Linked DNA regions of Arabidopsis thaliana. The protein of the gene in region 1 purifies or fractionates together with the protein of each later gene. This does not show direct contact. Each region holds a gene or a part of one and is shown on either strand. Other genes may lie near its edges. The genes, in order: DWA3 and CUL4.

Region 1 (7,883 bases):
ATTCAAGGCCTGCATGACAAAATATTCATAACCAATTATAAAATGATTGCTGCCTGAAGACCGAGACTCTTGACCACAACTGACAAGAAAACTGTTAAGGAAGCCCTAAAAGTAGCTAAAGATTTAGATGTAGAAACCTACAAGCTAATGCTATTACTTTTCTGCCGGCTCATTTTTCCAGATTGATTTTTCTTGTAGACGGTCTTTAATTTAATACCTCTTCTTAATTAACAGTTTTAAAAGGTGAAAGGAAGCCAAACACATAACGTTTCACTAGTTTTAACATTGGCTTTAGAAGCAAAAATCCCCATTAATTAGTCTACGCCACTTTTGAATCAGGAACTTACTTTTTAGTTCATCACCAGCTTTTTCTGGTGACAGAACTCTTTCTGACCTACTTGAAATGCTCTTGTTCTCGATATCTTCCTCACATGGGTTACTACCTCTGTCATCCCTGAGCCCTGTTGGCAAGTCCATGTCTCTTGAGGACTCTAACCCATTCTTTTTACTGTCTAAAGCTCCAGAATCAGTAGATGTCGCCCATCTTGCCTCATTGTACTTAGTACTTGGTGATCTCTGTACACGAGGCGGTTTCAGCAGCATACCTAAGTCAAAGATTGCAAGATTTCCAAAAGGATAGGATTAGATCATCTGAACGCTCAAATCTAATGAAACTAAGGTATGAACTGGGAGAACCTACATTTTGCTTCATCAGTCGGTGATTCTGGTAATAAAGCTTGTTCAAACTTGTTGGTGATACTCTTGATGATAGAATCGTCGGCATCATATGGGTTCCTACCACTCATTTCTGAATCAAACGCCGTCTCAGTATCTAGTTTCTTCTCACCATCCAATCCACTTTTCTTTAGATATCCAACAGCCACTGACTGCTTCTTTGTTTCATCAAACTTTGTTGGCGTCTTTCTTACATAAGCCGGTCTCAACAGCATGCCTGGCTTTGTTTTTGAGAAAGTGATAGATTCCTTTCCTGAATCAGAAGAGTCTTTCCCAATATCACTATCCCGTGGAACAACACTATGCACTACTAAAGACTTATTATCCCCTGCTTGTCCAGTAGAAGTTGCTGGAGTACTTAGAGATCCTGACTTATGTGCAACAGCCGAATTTCCGCCTGTAGCTTTGAAGAGAAGAGAGAATATTAAACCAAATATAAACGATAAGCATACAGAAGTGAGAGACAAATGAAATTTACACTGTCGCAAAACAGAAACTGACATTAAAGACTAAAAATAACAGTCCAGGTCACACAGTGGTTATGGCTAGCGATATTTAATTTATTCAGAAACGACGACCACCATTTCAGTCTCATTCAATTTCAATAGGTACAAAATTTAGGAATATACACCAACACATGCACGGAAAATATATGATTAGAGCAGGCCTAAAGATAAGGTAGCTTTCCTATCACTAATACAAGAAAACCAGAGTCAGTGATCTCTGCTAATAGTCCATTGCAACTAATCGTTAAATGTTGATTCACTTTCTAGATATAGGTGGTTGAGAGTAATAAGTAAGCTACCGCCCAGGGACTTCTCAAAACCTAACCAAAAACCTGCCATATCCTACTCTAAAACGAGAAACTTCAATAAGTTCAAGGTAGAAAACTGAATCTACAAACATCGAACAAAATTAACATTCACTCACAGTCGATGTATATGTTTTTGATCTCTTTCGTCTCATAATCTGGAGATGAGCTGCGCCTTGGGGTACTCTTTATTCTATCGAAGGACTGATCATCCAGAGCACTGAGTATTTTCTCCACGCACTCTTTTTTATCCGCAGATCCAATGCCGTATGGCTCAATCTGCTGTGTTAATTAAGGATAAAAGAAAAAACAAAAACATGAGCCTTCAAAACACTTATTTACCAGCTCGGACATAAATTTTTAGAGGAAAATCACAATAGCTGACATACTGATATATCTGAGACCCAAATCCCTACTGAATTTTGGTAGTATGAACAACCCAGGAGCTTTCCTTCGCTGATGCATAAGTCACCAAGCGTTGACCATCCCATATCAACACCATCATGGCAAACCACAGGTTCCCATGAATAAACCTGAATTATGAACATCAGCTTATGATATCAATGTTTTTGACTCTGGAGAACCCTTTATATGGTAAAGCTCATCACAAAGAAAATCAAAACCTTTAAGCTGTCATCCAAACCACAAAATAAGGTTCGCCCATCCGGATGAAATTTGATTGAACGAACTCCAGTAGCCTGTGAAAACAAGGAAAACCACATACCACATAAATTGTGTGAATAACATCTTCCGAGACGGCTACAAAGCTAGCTCAACGCCAAAACATATTTCATCACATGCTGCTTTCTGGACTCCGTTCACTTTTATTTACTTCTAAATCTTTTTAAGAACTAAATTTTATCTTGGCATTTCTCTAACACACTCTTCAGATCAAGGCCGAGAATAAGCAGATTTCTGATATTTTTTATGTGTGAGATTTCCCTTCAAGGTGATCACGCTAACAGGAAATAAACGTAAAAAACACTTGTTATAGAGTCCCCTAGAAAACAGTATCTAGTGACACCACAGGCTAGTACCTCTGGTCGGGTAGATCCAATCAATTCAAACGTTTCCAAATCCCAGAACTTTACAGTCCTGTCAGCAGAACCTGAATATGAATAGGGAGAGTGTGAAATCACAAGAATTCAATATAAAACTGTGATTAAGGAAATGTCAGTAGTTAATCTACCAATCGAAAACGACACCAAGTTACCCCTATAATGCCTGAAAAACAAAGAATCACAGACTAACCTGTGGCTAGGAGGAACTCAAGCGGGTGGAAGTCTAGCGAACGGATAGGTCCTTCATGAAACTTAAATTCATGCAAAAGCTTTCCAGCAGTCAAATCCCATACCTATTGGATACAACATATATAGCAGTATCGTTCTAAGATCATAAGTTTGAAAAATATGATGCACAAGCTTCATTTGTTGAAAATGCTGTTCTTACCTTTACAACATTGTCAAGTCCTCCGGAGACTACCCAACGACCATCGGGAGTAAACCTGATAGTGCTGATGCCACGAGAATGACCCTTGTACGTCTGTATGCATCCCTTCTTCCTGATGTCCCAAATCTTTAGATTCGCGTCACTAGATCCCGATGCCAAAAATTCACCAAAGGGATGAAATTCAACAGCAGAACAATTGGATCTATGTCCAGTAAAAGCTCGAACCACTACACTTCAAGAGCAAGAGTGAAAATGTTAGACCTCATAATTCTAAACTAAAAGTCTGGTACACTGCTCAAATAACCAAACCCATAATCCACATAGCCGATAACTCAAATGATATCCAATATATTCCCATTAAACAACACTAGCTCAACATAAAAGAAGCAACAAATATTCTAAAACAAAGGAGAGCAGAAAATCAATAAACTAACTCTTTGCTTCTTCAACATCCCACAGCTTTATCACACCCGAAGAAGCTCCAGCAAGTACCAAAACTTCAGCGGAGTCAAAAGCTACTGAATCCACTGCACTAGTATGTCCACACAGACTCTGCCAATAAAAGGCTATAGCATCATTCTTCTATCCATAATAAAACACAAATTTTCTGTCAAAGACATACTGAAGAAAGCAAATGTGAAACAAACCATTAAAGAAGTAGGCTTGCCAATCGCCCAAAGATTGACTTTGTAATCATCACCACCAGTTATAAAGAGCCGTGATGTCTTCTTTCCGATACTTAGACAATTCACATTTGCAGAATGTGCCAAAAACTCCTCTAAGTTTCCAAAATCAAGTTAAGTTATAAACAAACCCACAGAGAATAACATATCAACAAAAATAAATTCAAAGCATATCCAGAAAAAAAAAATTGGAGAAGACAAACATATTAATTGCAGTGTCTTTTTCTATCAATTTGCTCTCAGTTTAATTAAGCAAACAATAATAGAAACATTTTGACCAAATTGACGAAGAGCTAATAAACCAAAGCTTGTTTATGAAATAAACCCCAAGCGATTCAGTGATAAAGAAACTGTTAAAATTTCTCAAAATCGTCAATATAAGGATACGTAGCTTATAACCACGCTTCGCCATTTTTTAACTCGATTTTCCAGCGAATCCGTGAGGGGGAAATAGAAATTTGAATCTGGAATCGAATCTGTAGCTTCCGGAATCGATTTAAAACGGTGAATCGGAGCTACAAAAATCCGAATTGTCACTAAACGACAGAGGTCGAGATTTTAGGGAGATTTCAAAGGGAGGGATATGAGAAGAGATCGCTTTCCGTTGAGATTTGAAATCCAAAAAACGTGAGAGAGAATCAGATTCGGGGAAGAAGATTGAAAGAAACGAGACGAAATCAGATTCAAATAGTGACACGAAGCAGAATTAAGAAAGAAACAGAGAAGAAGAAGAAGAAATTTTGATAAAGCGAAGAAAGTTTTTTTTTTTTTTAATCGGTCGGTAGGTTTTTTAATTTTTTAAAAAATTTAAAAATATAATTAAGCATTTTTCTTGGACAGTGGACCTCTAGTTTCTTCGTTGTTCGTTCTTCTCGGTTCTGACGAAAACACCCTTTTGTCCGGGCATTGAATTCGAGTGGAAATTACGAAAAGAACCCTTGCTTCCAATTGACTTCTATTGGTACAGTTTTTTTCTCCAACTCCATCATAATTTGTTAGTTTTCTTTTGTCGAAAATATTATTTGATTGGTGAGGCAACACGTCATCATCTCTTGGTTTTGTTTGTTTCTTGAAGACATTTTCAACCTTAGGAATGAATTATAGTAATTTCAATCCATAGATGTATGATGGATGCTAACTGACGTTAAAAAAAGAAGAAGATTATGATGATAATTGTGTGTTTTTTTTTTTGACGAAATGGAATTATATTGAGCTTGAATAATTCAATTTCAACTGTTGTTCAAGACAAAGTAGCGGTTTAGCTACATCAATGTAGGAACTGGAATTCAAACAACCAAATTTTGCTAGTTTATGAGCCGTTTCATTACATCGACAACATTTCATATTCAGACAAATCAGTTTTTATTTTTTTATTATTTAACTTCTTGTGCCAATAGATAACATCTTGGTGTATAAAGATGTGTTAAGTAAAAAAAAAAAGATGCGTGAGTAGAACCAATAACCGGATCATGAAGTAAAATGATTTTAAGAAGAGGAAAAATGTCGTTTTATACGCGAACTTTCAAAAAGTGGTCATTTAATACGTGAACTTTTTGTGTGGCTAAATAAAACATAATAAAAACGTTGACCGATCATTTCACACAAATGTTATTGTTGACCAGGCCAAAATCCCCATGCCGTTATCTTTCATTAATGGATATGTTAGTTCCGTTAACACACGTTAATTAATTTCCGTTAATACTCAAAACGACGTCGTTTCATTGAAAAAAAAGAATCAATATTCCCAAATTGATTTCAAAATCCCTAAATTCCAAAATGGAATCCAATTCGTTTTTCTTCAATCCATCTGCTTCACATGGCAACAACATGTTCTTCTTTAGGAATCTCAATCCCGTTGTCCAAGGTTCTTTTCTCACTCTCATAATCTTATTTTACCATGTTGGAAGTTTCCCTGTTTTTGTTTTGTTTTGTTGTCTTGTGAATAAAATATGATGAACACACACACATGAGAACCAATTTGAATATGAATAACAACATTGACTATTGACAGCAGTTGTTCGTTTGAATTTATGAAGGAGGAGGAACAAGATCGATGATGAACAAGGAGGAAACATCAAAGCGAAGGCCTTTCTTTAGCTCCCTTGAGGATCCCTACGACGATGACTATTACGACGACCACTTGCTGAAAATAAGAGGCTGTTAGGGATTTGGTTTTTAGAATTTAAGGATTTGGTTTTTGGAATTTAGGAATTAAGGAATTAAGGATTTTTTGGAATTTAGGGATTTTGAAATCAATTTGGGAATTTTGATTCTTTTATTTTAATGAAACGACGTCGTTTTGAGTATTAATGGAAACTAATTAACGTGTGTTAACGGAACTAACAGATCCGTTAATGAAAGATAACGACATGGGAATTTTGGCCTGGTCAACAATAACATTTGTGTGAAATGGTCGGTCAACGTTTTTATTATGTTTTATTTGGCCACACAAGAAGTTCACGTATTAAATGACCACTTTTTGAAAGTTCGCGTATAAAACGACATTTTTCCCCTTTAAGAAGATAATATTATAGTGATTTGATTGTTGTGGGATATTTGATTTTGTTCCGTAATATGTTATCTTTTCATAATAAAATTTATCAAATTATTGGACAATTTTTCTCATTTCATTTAACTATTGAGAAAATTATGCTAAATTTTTGTCTCATGTTAAAAGTTGTCCACGATAGAGAGTAGTTAACATGTTTTGAATTGTAAGAATTCAAGTTAAAAACAATTCAGGAACAAAAAAAAAAAAAAGAGAGAAGATATTCTATGAGACATTTGTAACATTGGATGAACGAGGTTCAAGACCAGTGAACGATTGATCGAAATTTGAGTTTCTGAATTTGGTATAAGTTCTTGTTTTAAATGGTAGTTGATGTGGTGAACCCATTCACTACAGGAGAAAACAGGCTCTTGTTGTTGCCCCCAAATCAGAAACCTACCATGCACTAGACATTAGATCACAGTTTTAGTATCTGCATACTAGCTAGGTTTAGAGGACCTGAGTTTATGATTTTCACGATTTAACAAAATAAACCATCACCCAAATGAATCACACAAACAAGCTGCAAGCTAAAACAGAGATGCAAAAATAATACAATAAAAATAATAATAACATAATCCAAGTGAACAACACAACACACTGCAGAAAGATAAAGAAATTATACAATCCAAATGAACAACACAACACACACTAGAAGAAGAAATATAAAGCAATAGAAGAAGAAGCGTGGATTCCGATTTTAGACAGAGAGGAATCCGAATCCAGCGTAAAGTTTGTTTAGTCCTGTCTAAAGAAGAAGAAAAAGAAACAGAGTTAGATTCACATGTGGAAGCGAAGTCAGATCCTTCATGTTGTGGCAGTGAGTTATAGACACGCGGCATAGGTTGGTAAAGCAAGGAATTGTGGGACTGTGTAAATCATACGAGTCCGTCTTGCTTTCTTTGCACTTCATATATGTATCAATCTCTGAAACATGACTTCTTTCCACACTGATCATACGATAATACGAGATTGTTCATACCTACTAGCAAAGATATGTTGAATGGCTTTTGTTGAAAATCCCTAATCTCCATATGAGTAATGCAGCTCGCCAACCTTTGATCATTTGATATTAGCTCCAAACTCAACTCTGTGGATATCGTTATGGTTCGAACTTGTAGATGCTCCAAGAGCTGCAGCTCCTTCACTCAGCTTACATCTCCATGAACATTAGAATATAGTAGTTTCAATATTCTTAAACTCGAAAACTTTGGTATTCCACTGAGACTACCAAGTCTCTTTGCACAATCCAAATTCAGCTGAGTAAGATTTTTCAACTCTTACGTAATCTTCAGGAAACAGAGCACAATATAAGAAACACGACTTGATATTTTCATCCACCAAGCTATCGTAGCTGTACTTTAGAATTGGAAGAATTTTATTTTCCATGTCAGAAAAATCTGCAGCGGATCTAGTCAAAACATCGATTGCATGCTCCCATTCTTGTACCATAGTTTTAGATGTCATCTCTCTTGCCAACTCCACAATAACAGGATCTCTACTTAATGTGTTGTCTCCCACCTTTGTAGAGATTCCCAATCCTTGACTATTGGTTTTGTGGTGGCTCTGTAGAGATTCCTAGATCTCTTTTCTGAGGGGAGGCATATTCAAATTCAAATCCTTGATTTGATGCTTAAGTGATAGCGGAGAAAACGAA
Region 2 (7,883 bases), on another chromosome or scaffold:
TTGGTGTTGAAGAGGATGAAGAAGAAATAGAAGATCTTCATAAGAGTTTGTGCTGATGATAATAAACTGAAAGTTAGAAACTCTAGCAGCTTTTTAAGGTAAAGCGTTACTAAAAACAAATCTTATTTTATTTTTTAGTAAAAGCTAAAAAAAAATCTTTATAATTTTTGCATAAGATTTCTATTTTTATTACGATGTAAATTTTGGAAGAAAAAACAGTCCACAACAATTTTATTTTTACTTTTATATCTCAGCATGACTACCGATTAGAATATATAAATGGTGAAACAGAAGCGGTTTTAATCCGCAATCTTATTAATCAGTGTTCCATGTACAAACCATTCAAAGCTAAAATTGTTCAATTGTTTGTTTTATGTCAAGCTTACAATTTTTCAATAACTCCTCATTTTCACATGTTTGCATGTGAAAATATTGATCCAACGATCCAAGAGACTTACAATTTGCTATTATTAGTATCAATTGGGATTAATTGAGAAATTCTATAGTCTTGAAACATGAATAAAGAAAAAATAAATGTGTTGACATGTTAATGAGGGATTAAAGAAATAAAAAAAAATTATTAGTAAGTTTAAGCGAGGTGAGAATGTAATGAACACCATTTTGTATTAGTAATTATACAATTCCATAGGCTAATCAACATGTAATAAAAAGTTTTAAGACCATGCAGTCGTTGAGGCTGTGGCTGTAATAATATTCATCCTTGCAATTGCGACTTAAAAACCAGCCATGTTTTTTGGCCCAAGAACCCTCACTAATCAAAACACATTCGCACAACAGCACAAGTTATATGAGTTCGCCAATTGGTACGTCTCGGTAACACTTGTAAGACCATCTCCATCGGAATATCTGATTGAGATACTCATCAATTAAATAATAATTAAAAAGAGAAAAAGTATGAGAGAAGAAGAGAAAAGTGGAGAAACTGGCAAGAGAGACTATTCTCAGCATTTATTGAGAGTTGTCATTCAATTAATAGTTCATTTACTTCAAACTAATTAAAATATATTAATTTGATTAAAATATTAATTTATTTACTTTTTGAGATACTCTCTACCACTTTTGCCGATGGAGATGCTCTAACAATCTCATCTCGTCTCTTATCTGCTTGATAGGCTTCGGTTAAACCTTTGTAATCAGGCCCAAAGTATTAACTCCTGTAAATAATTTGATAAGCCCATATTTTGTAATCAGAACCAAACCCTAAACCGGAAGTCCAAAAACCCTGTGGAGCAGCAAGTCAACACGCCCCACATTGGCTAATCCATGACATCGATCATATTATATTTATTCATATTGTCAAGTGATGATTCTTCGTTCATGTCTTTTAACATCACACAATTTTCTGCCTGAAATTACCGACTGCTAAAAGTATTTAATCATCTCTATTTTTATCTCCATTCTCCACGTTATAGGTGAGTCTATTTTATAGGCATTTTATTCTAATATATTCTTTTAAAATAGTTTTTTTTAAAAAATAAAAGAAATATATGGAAAAAAAATCAACTCAATTTTCTTTAAAATAAAAATAAAAATATATATCAAAAATGATCTAAATATCAAGCATCGACTCGTGTGATCGATTCTTTATTCTTTAAATCGTAAAATGACTTAATAAAAATTCGACTCTAAAAATATACAATAGATATGATTTATCAGTTGTCAAAAACTAAAAATAAAAAGTAGTTAAAATTTAAAAGTAGTTATAAAAAATAACCATACAAAACAGGCAACAATTGATTATTATTTTTTATTTTTTTGTTTTTCACTTTTGTGATTAGTAACCATTAAAACAACGCACATCTAATCATTGCGGTATATGTCTATTTTTATCAATAATATTTTTTTTATCATATAGTAATTATGATTTATGAATGTATAAATAAAATAATTCTGATTTTATTCAGAGTATATAAATAAACAAAAAATCTTCATTTCTCGGGTCGGGTCTAAATCGCGAGTTTTCGCGTAGGTTTGAGCAAAAAAAAAAAGAGAGAGAGTGCACAGTGCGCTTTTGGTAGAGAGAAAGGGTTGTTATTATTTAGGATTGATGTCTTCTTCTTCCTCTTCGTGATTCTCTCACACAATTTTCACCCATTTTCATGTCTCTTCCTACCAAACGCTCTACTTTCTCCGCCGCTTCTGCCTCCGACGACTCTTCTTACTCTTCTCCTCCGATGAAAAAGGCCAAAAACGACCTCCACCATTCCCCTCAACACCCTAATACCGCCGACAAGGTTGTTGGCTTTCATATGGAGGAAGATCCAACTCCCGCCGCCGCTAATCTCTCTCGGAAGAAAGCTACACTTCCGCAACCTACTAAGAAGTTTGTAATCAAGCTCAATAAAGGTTTCGCTCGATTTCGATTTCTTTCATCTTTACGATTTTGATCGTAATCTTAGGATTTGATTTGGGTCTTTTACTCTACTGTGCAATTGATGCTCTGGATTGATTTGAAATGATACAATTGTTAAGGTTCGTGATTTTTAGGGTTTTCATTGGCTTGCGATTGATGGAAGTTTTGTGTGAGTTTTGATGTTAAATTACAGTGGAAAATTGAGTGTGACTGTTGAATTTTGATGTGAATGAGTGATTTGGGTTTTTGTATTTCTTCTAAGTTGGAATCTCTTTGTCTAGCCTGATCTAGGTACTTAAGATCCGGAATCTTTGTTGTGCACAATCTAGTTGGCTTAGCTCTCACCAAACCTAATTTGTGCCATTAGAAAACATCTTGAGAATCATCTTTACTGTGACTGGCTAGCAAATTGAAGATAAAAGTGTTTTCATAATTAGGGTTCTGATTGTACCATTTGTATTATATATGTGAAGCCAAACCAACTCTACCAACAAACTTTGAGGAGAATACATGGGAGAAGTTGCAGTCAGCTATCAGAGCTATATTCCTCAAAAAAAAAATTTCGTTTGACCTCGAGAGCCTTTACCAGGTTAGGTTACGTGCAAATTTACTTACTTCCTTTCTTATTCGTATGTGTAAATGTCGTGCTGATGAGATTGTGATTGTTTTTTCAGGCTGTTGATAACCTTTGCTTGCATAAGTTGGATGGAAAGCTTTATGACCAGATTGAGAAGGAGTGTGAAGAACACATCTCTGCAGCTTTGCAATCTTTAGTTGGGCAGAACACTGATCTGACTGTTTTCTTGTCACGTGTTGAGAAATGCTGGCAAGACTTTTGTGACCAGATGCTCATGATTCGTAGTATAGCCTTGACTCTGGATAGGAAGTATGTGATACAGAATCCAAATGTACGTTCATTATGGGAGATGGGTTTGCAGCTTTTCCGGAAGCATCTTTCTCTGGCCCCTGAAGTTGAGCAGAGGACGGTTAAAGGTCTCTTAAGTATGATTGAAAAAGAAAGGTAAATTTTTAACCTTCTGGTCTTCCAAAATTAAACGAGGGTTGATTTATCACATTGAGAATATAATTTCATAAAGCCACTTTACCTCAACTTATTTTTCTGGCTTTTGAGTGAATATGGTAAGTTTGGATGGTCTATGAACTATTCCTGTCTAGCAGTGATAACTTGTTATAGGTAAAATTTCAAGGCAAATCAGGACTAGTGTATGTCATTTATATATTGGATAATGTTTTCATCTGAATCTGCTGAACTTTCTTGCATGATATTGGTCCTGCAGGTTAGCAGAAGCTGTTAATAGGACTCTACTAAGCCATCTTTTGAAGATGTTTACTGCACTGGGAATTTATATGGAAAGCTTTGAGAAACCTTTCCTTGAAGGGACCTCTGAATTTTATGCCGCTGAAGGAATGAAATACATGCAGCAGTCTGACGTTCCGGAGTACCTGAAGCATGTTGAGGTGCCTTGCATGACTTCATATAGTTTCCTTATGATTAGCTGCACTACAGGTTAATAGTCTTTCTAAGGTTTCTACTGGTGATTGGTGCAGGGAAGGTTGCATGAAGAGAATGAGAGATGCATACTCTACATAGATGCAGTAACCAGGAAACCATTGATCACAACTGTTGAAAGGCAACTTCTCGAACGTCATATACTTGTTGTTCTTGAAAAGGTTCCAATCTCCTATTATTCTTGTGTTGGCTTGCATATTATCCAATTTTAGTTTGTCGTAGTCTTACTTTATTTCTGAACATCTTCAGGGTTTTACAACATTAATGGATGGACGTCGTACGGAGGACCTTCAGAGGATGCAAACCTTGTTTTCTAGGGTCAATGCACTTGAGTCTCTGAGGCAGGCGCTAAGTTCATATGTTCGGAAAACTGGGCAGAAGATTGTTATGGATGAAGAGAAAGACAAAGATATGGTACAATCACTGTTGGACTTCAAGGCTTCTCTTGACATAATATGGGAAGAGAGCTTTTACAAGAACGAATCATTTGGTAACACAATCAAAGATTCGTTTGAGCATCTGATTAATCTTCGACAGGTATCAAATAGTGATTTTCTTGATTATTGCCTGAGTCTCTTGCTAATAATTTTACTTTCATGTAAAAGCAACATACTGATTATTGTGGAAATGTCAACCTTAAATTACAATTGTGAAATCGAGAAATTTATATTTTATAATAATCTATAGATTTCGTTACTGATTAAGCACTGTATTGCTATGATTTGGAGACATCTTTGGGCAGTGAATACTATTTTCAAACATAATTTTGAGATCAAGCTTCTTGTGGGCACTGGACCTGATCACAGTAGTGTTGTTTGCTAATATATATCACTTTGGATACCAAATACTCTGATTTAGCAAGCATCCCAAATAATATACATCTTATGCTGATAATCTTTTTTACAGAACCGGCCAGCTGAGCTTATTGCCAAGTTTTTGGACGAGAAACTCCGTGCTGGGAATAAGGGTACTTCTGAAGAAGAATTGGAGAGTGTTCTTGAAAAAGTCTTGGTTTTGTTCAGATTTATCCAGGTTATCTCTAATTTCTTACATTTAGTACTGTGTTTGTCACTGTAAATCACTGCTTCGAGGCCAGTGCATGGTCTGTAAACCAGCTATTTGATCTTCTGGATATCGGTTTTGCTGATGGATTTTTATTATTTATCAAAGGGTAAAGATGTGTTCGAAGCATTTTACAAAAAGGATCTTGCGAAGAGACTCCTGTTGGGAAAGAGTGCTTCAATCGATGCTGAGAAATCCATGATCTCTAAGGTTAAAAACTGATTTATATTCTGGGTGTTTCCCTTTCCCACAATTTGTTTTCTATATCTGTAGTTCTCACCCACTGATCCCAACCTTGGTTTTACCTACAGCTTAAGACTGAGTGTGGTAGCCAGTTTACAAACAAGCTCGAAGGGATGTTCAAGGTATCCTTTCTTCTCCTTCTCTATATTCAAAAAAGATGTTGGTCGTTTAAGTTTTACTAAGGAACAAACTTAATGATCTTATATTTTGTTACGTTTTACGATATACCCCGGTATACATATTCATTGTTAATCCAATCTAAGACAGGATTGGCGGATGATCCTGCTCCATACTTATTTTAATGAACTTGTGTACATTTACAATAATCCTAATGAGCTTGAACTCTCCGTTTTATTGAAATTTTCTCCAGGATATTGAATTGTCAAAGGAAATCAACGAGTCATTCAAACAATCTTCCCAGGCCAGAACAAAACTGCCATCGGGAATTGAGATGAGTGTCCACGTTTTAACAACAGGGTATGTACAATGTATCAATTTTATCCAGGATATAACTGCTGGAATGCGGATATCATGACATATATAAAGCTTGTTAACTTCCCGTCTATAATACAGGTACTGGCCAACATATCCGCCTATGGATGTTAAGCTTCCTCATGAACTAAATGTCTATCAGGTTTTACTAAAAGTTCTTCTTATGTATTTTTTTTTGTTTCCTCGTTGGACGTTTTCTTACAAGCTTTTTCTAAGCTATCTGTATGTTTCGTAGGATATCTTCAAAGAGTTCTATTTAAGCAAGTACAGTGGTAGGAGGTTAATGTGGCAAAATTCATTAGGCCACTGTGTTTTAAAGGCAGATTTCTCCAAAGGTAAAAAGGAGCTGGCTGTTTCCCTGTTTCAGGTCAGTCAAATTTTTTTTCCCCCCCCCCCCCTTTTAAGCTCTTTCCTGTCTTCCCGAGGTTACAGTGTTAATCAATTGCTCTTTTCTTTTTGTCTCAGGCTGTTGTGTTAATGTTATTTAACGATGCAATGAAACTTAGCTTTGAAGACATTAAAGATTCCACCAGCATAGAGGACAAGGAGCTGAGGAGGACTTTGCAGTCGCTTGCTTGTGGGAAAGTCCGTGTCCTGCAGAAGGTTTGGCCAAAATCTGGACTCTGTTAACTCTCTTTTCAGCTAATGCAGAAACTGCCGAGATTATGGCTTTGCCTTTTTCCATAAGGATAAGCCTTATTGTGTAAATATTTTTGCAGAATCCTAAGGGAAGAGATGTAGAAGACGGTGATGAATTTGAATTTAATGATGAGTTTGCAGCTCCGCTGTATCGCATTAAGGTACGTTGGTTTTTTTCTTGGTCTCTTCACTTAAAGTATCCTAGAATCTTGTGATACTGTTTTGTATGTAGCTTATAGTGAAGCAATTCTTTCTTTTGTTCCTGGGTGCAGGTAAATGCGATCCAGATGAAAGAGACAGTAGAGGAGAACACAAGTACAACGGAAAGAGTATTCCAGGACCGACAATACCAGGTTGGTTTCTGCTCTCCATTTTCCTTTACGATACTAATTTCTGAAATCGTTCTTACAACTTTGGCTTCTTAAACAAGAAAAGATTTTGACAAAATGGTTTTCCCCATCACACCCTTCTCTTACAGATCGATGCAGCCATTGTTCGTATTATGAAGACAAGAAAAGTCTTGAGCCATACTCTTCTAATCACTGAGCTCTTCCAACAGGTAAATTTCACTCCTGCTTGATGATTTTAAAATCCGAAATAACATGTCGGTTTATGAAAAAAGAAAGCATGAAATTCGTTACTAGGTCCAGTCCTATTGGTAATATACTCGTGATGATGATTAGAGTTCTCAGTAGTCTACTAAATTTAATATACCATTGCTATGAATGGATATATGTTTGTGATTTGCAGCTCAAATTCCCGATAAAGCCTGCTGATCTGAAGAAGAGGATTGAGAGCTTGATCGATCGAGAATATTTGGAGAGGGAAAAAAGCAACCCTCAGATATACAATTATCTTGCTTAGAATCTCTTTGGTAAACACACCTTTTGAATATTTTCCTTTTTGTATATTTATTGACAAACAAACGATGACCGAAATTTTCTTATCAGTTTGAAAAAAAAAAAGAACTCTCGATATTCCAATCATCTCTATTCTCGCTGTTCCGCCCGTTCTTATGTACAGCCTTAAGTTCTATTTCTTACTTTGATTCACTTTTCCTCGGTTCTCACTTTTTTTTTTTTTTTGAACATACTTTCTTGGGACTTCTTTGTTTTCAGATTTTTATACAACTTAAAAGATGTTTTTGTTTCCCTACAAAAATAACTGATTTGTTTTAAAAAAATTCAAACTTCCAATAAAGTTCCTAAGATAGGTTATATATCTTCGAGGGTTTTCTATGTGCTGATTCCATTTTGTTTTCGTTTTTGAGTTTTATTTGAATGGAGATAGTTCTTAGAGCTTTTTCTTCGTTTTTAGGCAATTAAATCTTAAGTTTAATCGGATTTTTTTTTACACTACATTATAGGCATTTCTGTTTTTACCACTACCAAATAACTAAAGAAAGAACAGAGAGAATCAAATTGCTTACTTGATGAACGTCCCTAACGACATTTAACTATGGCTGATCAATATTGTACGCAACTGAAAGACAATTGAATAAAATTCATACTACGGTTTGTGAAATAGTTAAATGTATCTACA

The links.
Region 2: the proteins of DWA3 (region 1) and CUL4 purify together in Arabidopsis thaliana (affinity purification with western blotting, with the first as the bait; one study listed by BioGRID). This does not show direct contact.

Annotation. Positions count from the first base shown.
Region 1 is NC_003070.9:22,560,992-22,568,874, reverse strand, and holds the start of DWA3 (Transducin/WD40 repeat-like superfamily protein), read right to left. Parts: upstream 4,381-7,883; 5' UTR 4,091-4,380; coding exon 4,066-4,090; intron 3,774-4,065; coding exon 3,643-3,773; intron 3,548-3,642; coding exon 3,430-3,547; intron 3,223-3,429; coding exon 2,996-3,222; intron 2,901-2,995; coding exon 2,798-2,900; intron 2,655-2,797; coding exon 2,584-2,654; intron 2,245-2,583; coding exon 2,170-2,244; intron 2,080-2,169; coding exon 1,936-2,079; intron 1,829-1,935; coding exon 1,666-1,828; intron 1,139-1,665; coding exon 701-1,138; intron 606-700; coding exon 348-605; intron 10-347; coding exon 1-9. Other genes in the region: AT1G61200 (homeobox-leucine zipper protein-like protein), read left to right, coding at 5,455-5,542, 5,715-5,842. UniProt on the Arabidopsis thaliana protein: May participate in a complex which severs microtubules in an ATP-dependent manner. Microtubule severing may promote rapid reorganization of cellular microtubule arrays.
Region 2 is NC_003076.8:18,730,891-18,738,773, reverse strand, and holds CUL4 (cullin4), read left to right. Parts: upstream 1-1,958; 5' UTR 1,959-2,120; coding exon 2,121-2,367; intron 2,368-2,847; coding exon 2,848-2,963; intron 2,964-3,048; coding exon 3,049-3,395; intron 3,396-3,672; coding exon 3,673-3,853; intron 3,854-3,943; coding exon 3,944-4,066; intron 4,067-4,154; coding exon 4,155-4,442; intron 4,443-4,811; coding exon 4,812-4,937; intron 4,938-5,075; coding exon 5,076-5,177; intron 5,178-5,278; coding exon 5,279-5,332; intron 5,333-5,580; coding exon 5,581-5,687; intron 5,688-5,783; coding exon 5,784-5,844; intron 5,845-5,937; coding exon 5,938-6,069; intron 6,070-6,167; coding exon 6,168-6,305; intron 6,306-6,421; coding exon 6,422-6,502; intron 6,503-6,613; coding exon 6,614-6,694; intron 6,695-6,819; coding exon 6,820-6,900; intron 6,901-7,091; coding exon 7,092-7,205; 3' UTR 7,206-7,403; downstream 7,404-7,883. UniProt on the Arabidopsis thaliana protein: Component of the CUL4-RBX1-CDD (COP10-DDB1a-DET1) E3 ubiquitin-protein ligase complex which mediates the ubiquitination and subsequent proteasomal degradation of target proteins. Participates in the CDD complex to light-mediated control of development.